2 linked regions of the Ovis aries genome follow. The protein of the gene in region 2 binds, or shares a complex with, the protein of the main gene of each other region. Links are inferred from orthologs where the notes say so. Each region holds a gene or a part of one and is shown on either strand. Other genes may lie near its edges.

Region 1 (5,721 bases), on a different chromosome or scaffold from region 2:
CATTAATATCCTATGGCTGAATCCAAACATAAGAGGAAAAAATGTGCCTTTTGTCTATTTGTTAACTAAAGTTGATGCCCTTCTCCTCTCAACATACCCAGGATGCGGGCTTTACATTATCAAATAGTAGTGCTAGACACTTTCCCAAATACTGTCAGGACAGTGCCACTCTCTTCTATATCCTGAAAACAGCATTGGATTTTTTTGTTGTTGTTTTTGCTTTTAATTTTTATTAAAAGTAGGACTTTTATTAACAGTAGAGCTTCCCAGGTGGCACAGTGGTAAAGAATCTGCCTGCCAATGTTGGGTTTGATCCCTGGGTCCAAAAGATCCCCTGGAGTAGGAAATGGCAACCCACACCGGTTTTATTGGCTGGAAAATTCCATAGACAGGAGCCTGGTGGGCTACGATCCATGGGGTCACCAAGAGTTGGACACAACTAAGTGCTCACACACAGTTGACTTACAATGTTGTATTAACAACTGCACTATTTTTGATCAATTTCAAGACACTTATATTTAACACTATCTCATAACGGGAAATCTTTCGTTTTATACTGAACAATATAACTAATGCAAATAATATGGATCAACAGCTTGGGCATCTGTAAATATACCATGTGTAAGAGAAAGAAAAGCAGATCCTGCTATTCTAAAAGTAGTGTCCATTATCTTTTCTCATTGCTAGTACTTAGCCAGTGTAGGATTTGGAAATCAGAAATCATTACTGCTGACTGAATTTCAAGAACTATTTCATGAGTAGGAAAAGACACTTCTTAATTTAGTCTTGAGCACTTCATCACTTCTTGTCAGAGGCCGTGTCAAGAGATAGTTTGTTGCAGATATCCAAAGGTACCTCTCTTTTAGGAAATTTCTGTCTTCATTTTAATGTTCTTTGAATGGTAAACTGTTTCCAGCCACCAATTCTGTGGCTGGCCCTTTACCTTTTTATTGCCATTGCAGCTCTGCTAACACATTTTTGCTGAGGATGCTACACTTATTGACACAATTCCGGCCCCCCCCCGACCCCGCCCACCCCGACCCGGCTTTGTGGCATTTGCTTTGTTTTTTTGATACATCCACTTGCACCTTGCATAATGATTAACCTTGGTGGATTGTCTCCCGGCTTCGCTTCTGTATGTCAAGCTTCCCCTCCAGTGCTAATTGTCAGGGCTCAGGAATATAGCAGATCACCAGGGCAGATCAGATGAGAGTAAATGCACCCTCTTCCCTTCTCATCACATTTTTAGAGAGATAAAATTAATTTTTTAGTATTAACAGCAGGTCTGAAGGGGAAAGAAGACACAAAAGGGTAGTCTAGGGGGATTTCTGTGTAGGGAAAGAGGTATCTCATCCCTTAACTTGAGAAACAGTGGGGATATTTAAGAGATGATTGGTCAACCAGTAGATACCCTCTTTTGGAAACAACACCCAAAACTTGCTGTTTTTAGAAAATGGCTGCTGCTTCCTGTAGTTTCTGCCCAATCACCAGTAGCCTGAAAATTCCCCTGTATCTCCCTGCTAAAAGTTCTCTCTCACTGATGCAAAATTCACTGCAAGCATATAGTACTTAACATCATGGAAAGTATATTTGCTTCGCAGAGAAAAAATTAAACTGTGACCATCTGCTTTCTGAATAAGGTAGATAAAAGCGACCATCTTAATTTTACCAATAACAAATTTAAAACGGAAAAAGATGAACGTGACTTTGCAAAAGGCATGCTGTATCGCTGCTGAATATGCAATGGAGAAGGTTTAGGTCTCCTAGCTTCTACTGCTTACATTTCACAACCAAATTACCCTGCTTTTCAAGCCGAGGAGTCCCCACCTCTCTGAATCTCAAATGCCCCAAGGAAAGGGGGAAAACAATGAAAGGACAGCAATAAAAATAGCTCTATTAGGAAAAGAATGATGTGTCAGTTCCCCCACCTCTAAAAGGGGGCTGGGCTACAGGTTAGGGAAGGTTCCCACACTAATCGCTTCAAGTCCTAACATTACGGACAATGATGAAACGGCCCTCCCTTACAGGACTGAGAGGAGAGCAGAGGGAAACTAAGGGGACCCGTTGCGGATCTAGAAAATTCAAGATCTTAGTAGGGCTACCGCTGGCCCAGGAGGGCCCTAGCTCAAAGCTGGGAGATGAGGGATGGTCCCCTCAGGCTACTTGGAAAGGTAACCTTAAGGGAGCAGGGAAGTGATCTTTTCCACTGGAACAGGTTATATCTACCCTACCCCAAGTCCCAAGATTCGGACACCCCTTCCAGACCTTGCTTTTGCTTTCCCCCCATCTTCCCTCTAGGCCACGGCTTCACTGGTGGTTCAGATGGTAAAGAATTCTGCCTGCCAATGCAGGAGACCCAGGTTCAATCCCTGGGTCGGGAAGATACCCCGGAGGAGGAAACGGCAACCCACTCCAGTATTCTTGCCTGGAGAATCCCAAGGACAGAGGAGCCTGGCGGGCTACTCTCCGTGGGGTCTCAAAGAGTCGGACACGACCGAGCAACTAACACTTTCACTTCCTCTAAGTGAGGCACAGAAGTCCTTGTTACTATCGAAGCACAGAGCCCACGCTCTCCCTTTCCATTCTGCTAGAAAGGGGCTTGTTACTGCTCAGGCTTGCCTGAACAGTCCTGGAGCTCACTCACCAAGAAAGGTGAGCACTTTCCAAGTTGACCTCGCATCACACCCACTCTAGTTTTGCTTCACTGTCAATCCCTCCAGTAATTGCAATCAAAGGAAGAGCATTTTAATTTTCACTGTTTTAACTCCCGTTACCCATAAATCAAGCGGGCTGGACATCCCGAGTCTGAGGGGGCTGCCCGGCTTGCGAGATTCCCCCAGGCCCAGGTCCAGGCTCGAGCCGGGCCACAGACACGTGCGCCCTGGCTACCCTGAGGTGGCGACCCGTGCGCCGCGGCACGAAGGTGTGGCAAATCCCACCAGCCAAGAGTAAAGACGAGAAAAGGAGATAAGAGATCGAGGAACGGAGCGGGGAGAGGAGGCACTGGACTGGACGCGGCGCGGGTGTCCCAGGGGGCGCGGGGTCCTCTTACCTCCGCAGTCGTCCGCGCAACAAGACAGCAGTAGCAGCAGCAGGAGCGGGGACCCGGCGGCCACATGCCCCGCCGGCGGCTCGGGGCGACGGCTCGCGGCTCGCAGCATCCCGGGACCCTGCGCTGCACCTGCCGCGCGCTCCGAGCAGTGCTCCGGTTGAGCTTCCGCGTCCCCGGCGCGCTGTTCTCCCGGCTCCGCGTCCAGACAGACCGCCCCACGCGCTGCCAACTTTTAAATCTCGCGGACACGTGAGCTGAGGCGGCTAGGTCCCCGCGCGCGCGTCACCTCCCGCCCCCGGCCTTCCTCGCGTCACTCGCAACCCGCCCCACCCCGCACCCCATGCACGAGTTTCTGACTCAGGGTACCATGCATCTTTCACCCTCCTCGCCCTAGGGTCTCTGGAATGGAGGGTCATAGAATTAAAATGAAGCATGTCTATTCCCTTCTTTGGAAGCACTGAAGGGGAGCCGGAGGGGAATGCAAACCAGGCGGCCAGCAGAGGCTGGTATCCCGGCTTTTACACTTGGTGGTGGCGATGCTCTGCCAGAGACGACCCGTCTGCACCCTCCCCGGAAAGCCTTCTCTGCCCCACCCGACTGTGCGGCACCTCTTGTCCAGAGCTCCAGGAGCCACCTCGGTGCAAGCACTTCTGTTCTGTTGCCCTGTTCATCCCCAGCTCTTGGTACACGCCCAGGGAATCTTAGAGCAGTACTGGCTCATGGTGGATAGTTAGTGTTAGTCGCTCAGTCATGTCCGATCTTTGCGACCTCATGGACTGCAGCCCACCTGTCTCCTCTGTCCATGGAATTTTCCAGACAAGAATACCAGAGTGGGTTGCCATTTCCTTCTCCAGGGGATCTTCCCAACTCAGGGATCGAAACTGGGCCTCCTGCACTGCAGGCAGATTGTTTACCGACTGAGCCACCAGGGAAGGTGGTGCTGTGCTTAGTCGTTCAATCGCGACTCTTTACGACCCCATGGACTGTAGCTCGGCAGGCTCCTCTGCCCATGGGGATTCTCTAGGCAAGAATACTGGAGTGGGTTGCCATGCCCTCCTCCAAGGGATCTTGCCAACCCAAGGATAGAACCCAGGTCTCCCACATTGCCGGCAGATTCTTTACCCTCTAAGGCACCAGGGATGGTGTTCCCCAAATTCCTATCAGGTCTGAGATCTTTTAGGGGAAAGCAGTTGTCTGTTAAAGACAGTTAAAAAAAAAAAAAAAAAAAGGACTGCTGAGGCTTGACCACATAGACCTTTCTAAGTTCTGGAAGGTCTTGACTCTCCTGCGGAATTGCAAGCCTCAAGGTAACACCTTCCTTTCTGTGCATTTCTCCTGCTGTCACTTCCTAGCAGTTGCATTCTGATTTCCAGAGTGACCTGACTTCTATTATCCCTCTCTGCAGTTTCCTTCCTAGGGGGAAATATCCATGAAACAGACTTCTCCAGCGCACTAGCTGATGTGGCCTTAATTTCCTCTTCCAGAAACAAGGAAGAGGGATCTTATTTGACCTCCTTTTGAAAGGAACGCTGAGGGAAGGGTAGAAAAGGAAATACACTAACATTTCTTAAGGGACATCTTTATGTCAGGCACCTTCCCATGCTATGCATTTAATATTCATGGCATCTCGGGGATGTGAAAGTACTTTATTATGATTCTCACTTGATGAGCTTGGAGATATTAAACAATCCACCCAAGGATATCAGGCTTCCCTTGTGGCTCAACTGGTAAAGAATCTGCCTGCAATGTGGGAGAACTGGGTTTGATCCCTGGGTTGGGAAAATCCCCTGGAGAGGGGAAAGGTTACCCACTCCAGTATTCTGGCCTGGAGAATTCCATAGACTGTATAGTCCATGGGGTCACAAAGAGTTGGATACGACTGAGTGACTTTATATACATATATATAGAGAGAGATACCAGCATGTGAGGGAGCCACTGGTCATTCTACTCTGTAAAGATGCTTCTCCTCTAAATCAGGGATTTTAATGTATCAGACATGCACTGTACAGTCCACTACAGGCAAGGCATGTCCTTAAGGATACATTTACTAGTCTTCCTAAAGGATATTACAGTTTGATAAAGGACCCCAAATCTATACTCAAATAGCTGTATTACAAGGCCAATGGGATAATGCTCTGTCATAAATACAGAGAGGCAAGAGAGTAACCCTGATAGAGTGAAAAAGCAATGCCTACACTTTAAAGTTCTTTATATCCATGAAACACGTGAGCAAGGCCATATTATATGGAGTCTGGTCCTGGTTCAAAGATGGATGAGAATAGATTTAAGATTGCATGTGCTTTTATTTATTCCCAAAGTAGTGAAAAAACATTGAGTACAGAGGATGTAAATGAAGTAAGGATGTGGGTGGGTGGAGGGGGCTCTGGTTTCCCACTGCCTTGCTTGTATCTCCTGGAAGCACACTGAAAGATCACTAATTTCAGCCGCCTTCGTGGGTGAGATGTCAATGAAAACAGAGAAGCCTGAAATAGTGGGCTTGATGGTTTTCAGTACTTCTAGAGGTCAGGAAAAGAAATGACTCATGTATGACAAGTTTTTTCTGCATGAATCAGGCTGCTCTGGATGTTCTGATACATGGCCCTTGGTACATGTATACAAGACTTTTCTGAATTATAGTAGTAATAATAATAATAATAATAACCTAGCAA
Region 2 (5,660 bases):
TTTGCCATGAGAATCAGTACTCATCAGAGTTGAACAAATCTCTTTAAAATCTTTCAGATCAAAAAAGCCCTCTGAGAGAACATTTCCATGTCTCCTATTTTGAAGGTAGAGAAGGTGAAGTCCAACAATAAAGGAAATAATTTTGGCTCATTCACTCATTCACTGATCTTACAGTCTAGTTGGAGAGGAAGTTAAGGAACCCACAAATATAGAATTATAAATTGTGATAAATGCAATGATGGGAAATTGCTAGGAATCATGAGCATCTACAGGGGAACCAGGCAGTTAGGGAATCAGGGAGAACTTCCCGGAGTAAGTGTGAATAAAGTATGACTTAAAGGATATGTGAGAGTTAGAAAGGCAAAAAGGATTGTGGTGGTGGGCAGTAGGGATGTTTCCGGCAAAAACAAACAAACAAACAAAAAAACAAAAAACAAAAAAAAAACAGCAAAAGGTGCAAAGGTCTTGAGATCAATGCCACAGATTAGGGTCTACTTTTGACTCCCAGTCTAGAAATCTTTAAATTCCTATAGAAGAGACATTCTAAGCATATAGTTCCTTTCCAGTGTCCTCTGGGTAACACCTCATCCTTCCTGAGAATAGGATGCTGTAAGTTGCACTGTATACACAAAGCAGACTGGGGTGGTTTCTCAGCTGTTATCTATCACATAGCTCCTGATAACCAGGGAGCAGTAGACTCATGACATCACAACAAAGCGACACTTCAAGTAATTGTTTGGAAAGGGAAACATGTGTTTCCTATTCAGAGTTAGATAGTTCCTCCAATTTAACCTGAGACAAGTGATGGTTCACTGTTAGTAGAGATTGTATTGGTACATTTGGGGTGGACATTTCTCATAGGGCTCATGGAATCATGCAGAAGTCCTTTCCCCACAGTGCGATGCACAGGGCTTGCTAAAGACATGGTGACTGTGAGCTAGTCTGGTTTGGCACATGTCTCTGGAATTACAGGGGCCAGTCCACCAGGAGGAGACTGGCAAAGTTCTCTGCCTGATTAGATTTACTCCTGTGTACTGAAAAATCTGTTCTTCCACCTTCGACTTTGCCATTCACTTTAGGCACAGTATTCATTCGAAAGGACCACCTGTGGGACACTCATTTTTGACATACAACTTTCTCAGAGATGCACTGAGATGGGAGTATATTAATTACCACATAATACATGGTACCAGAGCCATCTTACAACATAGGATGTGAATGTGATGCCTGTTTTGTTTTCCTTTCATTTGTAACTCACATTGCTCCCACTCAAAGATTTCCTTTTCCTTTTCTTAAGGAACCACAGACTGTTAGAGTGATCAGGAGTGCTAATACATAAGATCTGATGTAAACTTCTCATTTTATAAATACAAAATCTAATTCCAGGAGAGAATTGTGTGACATTACCTAAAGGCATCTTATATGTGAGCTTCATAACTCGGAGTCTAAATGGTCTCATGACTATTTCCTACATAACTACCTCCTTAAATGGGTATAAAACTGTCATGTTTAGTTTTCCTCTCTGTGATTTTTGATGCAGAATATACCAGGAAAGGAATCATACAGACTCACTTCTCCTTTCATTAAAAACAAGACAACAGTTTCAGATAATTTAGATCCAGAAAAAAAGAAAAAAAAAAAAGAAATAAGTTTATCATCATGAGCACATGAAGGTAAACCCTAATTATAAAATGTTGCAAACTAAGTAATAATATTCTATTAATTCCAGCTATATCTTATTCACACTGTCTTCTAATCTATTTTAGGCACTCTGTTTACCTCTTTGTCCTTCAAACTCCACTTGTCCAGTTGATTTCACTCAGGCCATATTTTTGCATTTTAATCTGATATTTCTACGAAAGGATCAAAGCAACCACCACAAGGAAGTATCTGACTTTAAAACTGTATATCTGTCTTGGAGTATAAACTACACTGCTGCTGCTAAGTCACTTCAGTCATGTCCGACTCTGTGCGACCCCATAGACAGCAGCCCACCAGGCTCCCCCTGTCCCTGGGATTCTCCAGGCAAGAACACTGGAGTGGGCTGCCATTTCCTTCTCCAATGCATGGAAGTGAAAAGTGAAAGCGAAGTCGCTCAGTCAGGCTCCTGTGTCCATAGGATTTTCCAGGCAAGAGTACTGGAGTGGGGTGCCATTGCCTTCTCCGATAAACTACACAGGGATAGTTTATTTTATATTCAGACCAAGTAGGTGCAGAGGAAAATTTCAGTGCAGGCAAAGCAGGTGAGGGCAGGAAAGAGACCACAGGGTATGAAACAGTCTCTCCAGGGGTGGCTGCCTTGTGCTATTTAAAATGAAGCTCTATCCCAGACCTACTAAATCAGACTTCTCTGTAGGAAGGGACCCACACATCAGTTCCCATAGTAAAGTTTCAAGGTGGTTTGTAGGAATACCTAGGTTTGAGAACCACAGTTACAGAGGGAAGAATGATGAAAAGTGAGTTAAGGAAAATGATTTATAGCTGTGGTTACTGTCTGTCCAACTGAAAGCCAGTCTGTTAGCTTCTGAATTTCCCCTCTGAGTTCACCCTGTTTTTCTCTAAGGTTCCTTCCAGTTCTGAATTTCTCCAGTTCTAAGTGTTTCTCTGAACTTTGAGTCAGAGAAAACAGAAGGAACGCCACCTTAAGGACTGCAGCCAGTCTGGATACTCACCTTGAGCCCCATGAGGTAGTAGAGGACACTGATGACCGTCATGGGGAGGATGTAGAAGAGGAAGGAGGTGACCTGGATAATGAAATTATAGATCCACATGGGCTTGATGACTGTACAGGTGGCAGAGCCTGGGATGAAGGACCCGTTGGGGAAGTAGTGGAGCTTGATGCCGTGGATGCTGGTGTTGGGCACAGAAAAGAGAACAGAGAGGCCCCAGACGATGCCGAGGATGCGGAGGGCCCTGCGCCGGGTGCTCTTCAGTTTGGCCCGGAACGGGTGGAGGACGGCCACGTAGCGCTCCACGCTGACCGTGGTGACGCTGAGGATGGAGGCGAAGCACACGGTCTCGAAGAGGGCCGTCTTGAAGTAGCAGCCCACCGGCCCAAACAGGAAGGGGTAGTTGCGCCACATCTCATAGACCTCCAGGGGCATCCCGAGAAGCAGGACTAGGAGGTCGGAGACAGCCAAGCTGAAGAGGTAGTAATTGGTGGGGGTCTTCATCGTCTGGTGTCGAAGAATCACCAGGCACACCAGGAGATTGCCAACGACCCCCACCACAAAAATCAGAGCATACACCGCAGTCACCGGGAGGAAGAGGTGGCTGCGACGAGGCCCGCAGAGCAAAGCTAGGTAGTCGTCTGTGTTGTTCAGGTATTCCTTGAAGGGATCTTCCAGTTCCTGTTGGTAGATCCAGGAAACATTCTCATGTTTTTCCATAACTGCTATTAAAATGCAAGACCTGAGCCTCCTCGGGAATAAGCCTCTTTCCCAAGCTGAGCCAGAAAAGAAAAAGAAAGCAGGCAGGAAAGCACAGGCTTGGGGAAGGAGGCCCGGAGAGGGCTAGTGCTTCAGAAACTGCTCAGACCTCGGATCCCTTTTGAAGAGCCCCCGAGACAGAAGCCCCGCCCCTTCGCGGGCTGTGGGCCAATGCACTTGTCAGACGTTCAGTGAGAGGGCAGCTGGGTGGGGCGCGCTGGTTTCCTGAGCAGGGAGCCGGAGAGGAGGGGAGACGTTTCTCTGAATTGGAAGGAGCTGGGAACGCAGAACTGTCATAAACGGTGGCACTAGATTAGGTAAGGTGTGGGCACTCAGAGCAGTGCATTCTGCAAAGTTGTGGGAATCTGGGTGGAAATACAAATTGAGGTTGCAACGTTGTGCGTAGAAAAGTACAAATCCTCGTCACCTGTACAGCATAACAAAAATGGGAGATCAATAGATTTTTCAAGTATCTTGTTCCATTGAAAATTCAGGGCTCCTGGGGCAAAGTGTGATCAGTATGCCTTTTTGGCTTTGATTGCCTCCATGATAGAATCCAACACCTGCTCATCACCTAGCCCTGCCTGCTTTCTGACACTTCATTTTTGACAGTACCTTGCTGAAGCAAAAGGATTTAGAATCAGGCACACCTGTAAGAAATTCTGTAAACCTTTGGGAAAGTAACTCAAACTCTCAGATCTACATTTTCTTATCTGTTAACTGAAGAGTTGTGTTATTGTATTCAATACATACTTCTTGAGGATTTATTGTGTACCAAGGAGTGTTCAAGGCTTTGAAGCAACATCAGTGAACAAACAAGATGAAGTCTCTGCCCATGTGAACGTTTCTTCTGGTAGAGATTTCTGAAAATGCCCAAGCAAACTAATAAGTGAATTAATAGAGTTGCACGTCATAATCCGTGCTGTGAAGAAAAGGGGCCATACAAACATAAGGCTACAGCTGTTCTTTCTTTTAATCAAGATGTCATTTGGGCTGAGTTCTGACTGATGAAAGATCAATCATGTAAGAGCTAAGGGAAGTGTATTCCCAGAACAAGTAATAGCAAGTACAGAGGTCTTGAGGCAGTAATGAGCTTGATGTGTTTCAAAAACATCAAGAAGGCCACTGCAGCTGGAACTTAATGAGTGGACAGGAGAATATGAGAGTTGAGATCGAAAAGACTGGAAGGGACCATATTATATACATTTTTCTAGGATCTGATAATAAGTTTGGATCTTATTTAAACTGCAGGGACTTTGGATCTGGTTCAAGCCGCAGAGAATCTATGGACAGTTTTGAGCAGGAGGATTGCTCCTGGGGGCAATAATTCCCTTATGTCTCTGGACTGTTCTTGCCCATGGATTGAACAGGCTTCCATATTATGGGTAAGAAAATAGACGTGCAGAATGAATTCACTGTGTAACTCTATCAACAGAGGTAAATCTGAACAAGCACAGGGCTACTCTCTGTAGCTGTGGGCCAAAATAAAATACATGCCGTTTGTCTAAGGGTGATAGTGGGCAGTGACGAAGATGCTATTAGAGGCTGGAAGGATCCATGGTGGTGGTGGTGGGGGACTGATAATTTGTTCTTTAGTTTACAGGTATCTGGAACAGGAGAAGACACATGCAGATCTGATGGATAGAAAACCACGACCCACTCAGAGTTCCTAGACTTTTACAGTTGTGTCTGAATAGGAGTAGAAATCAGGGGGGCAGGGGGATGTGATGTGGGGGTACAAGTGGCAACTATGTAAAGCTTTCAAAAAATTACAATAGCTCATATTTATTGAGCACTTATTCTTCCTAGGCACTATTGTGAACAATATGTACACACATGGTTTGCCCTCCGTCAGATCTGTATGTGGCTCCTTTCGTTCCAGAGACCTATAAATCAAACGACAACTCATCAGCCTCCGCTATGGATTCTTCCAGCCTCTAATAACATCTTTCTCATTGCCACCATCTCATCCTTAAACTAATGTGATGCATTAAAAATATTTTTTATTGAAGTATAGTTGATTTGCAGTGTTGTGTTAATTTCTGCTGTTCAGCACAGTGTCTCAGTTATATATATATATATATATATATCCTCTTGATGAAAGTGAAAGAGGAGAGTGAAAAAGTTGGCTTAAAGCTCAACATTCAGAAAATGAGGATCATGGTATCTGGTCCCATCACTTCATGGCAAATAGATGGGGAAACAGTGGAAACAGTGTCAGACTTTATTTTG

Evidence for each region.
Region 1: the proteins of NMUR2 (region 2) and NMU are in contact, whole or in part, in a cryo-EM structure (PDB 7XK8), measured with the Homo sapiens proteins. The link is inferred for Ovis aries from reciprocal best matches to the Homo sapiens genes NMUR2 and NMU. Residues at the interface, in NP_064552.3 of Homo sapiens: Ser42, His43, Gly98, Glu102, Glu105, Met106, Trp107, Arg108, Asn109, Tyr110, Pro111, Thr123, Phe126, Glu127, Asn181, His185, Pro199, Ser201, Thr203, Cys204, Val206, Tyr213, Phe284, Arg288, Phe291, Glu295, Trp297, Ser298, Glu299, Ala302; in NP_006672.1 of Homo sapiens: Glu146, Phe152, Ala153, Ser154, Gln155, Gly158, Tyr159, Phe160, Leu161, Phe162, Arg163, Pro164, Arg165, Asn166.

What each region holds. Positions count from the first base shown.
Region 1 is NC_056059.1:71,781,966-71,787,686, forward strand, and holds the start of NMU (neuromedin-U), read right to left. Parts: upstream 3,260-5,721; 5' UTR 3,162-3,259; coding exon 3,053-3,161; intron 1-3,052.
Region 2 is NC_056058.1:61,406,136-61,411,795, forward strand, and holds the start of NMUR2 (neuromedin-U receptor 2), read right to left. Parts: upstream 3,552-5,660; 5' UTR 3,390-3,551; coding exon 2,673-3,389; intron 1-2,672. UniProt on the Homo sapiens protein: Receptor for the neuromedin-U and neuromedin-S neuropeptides.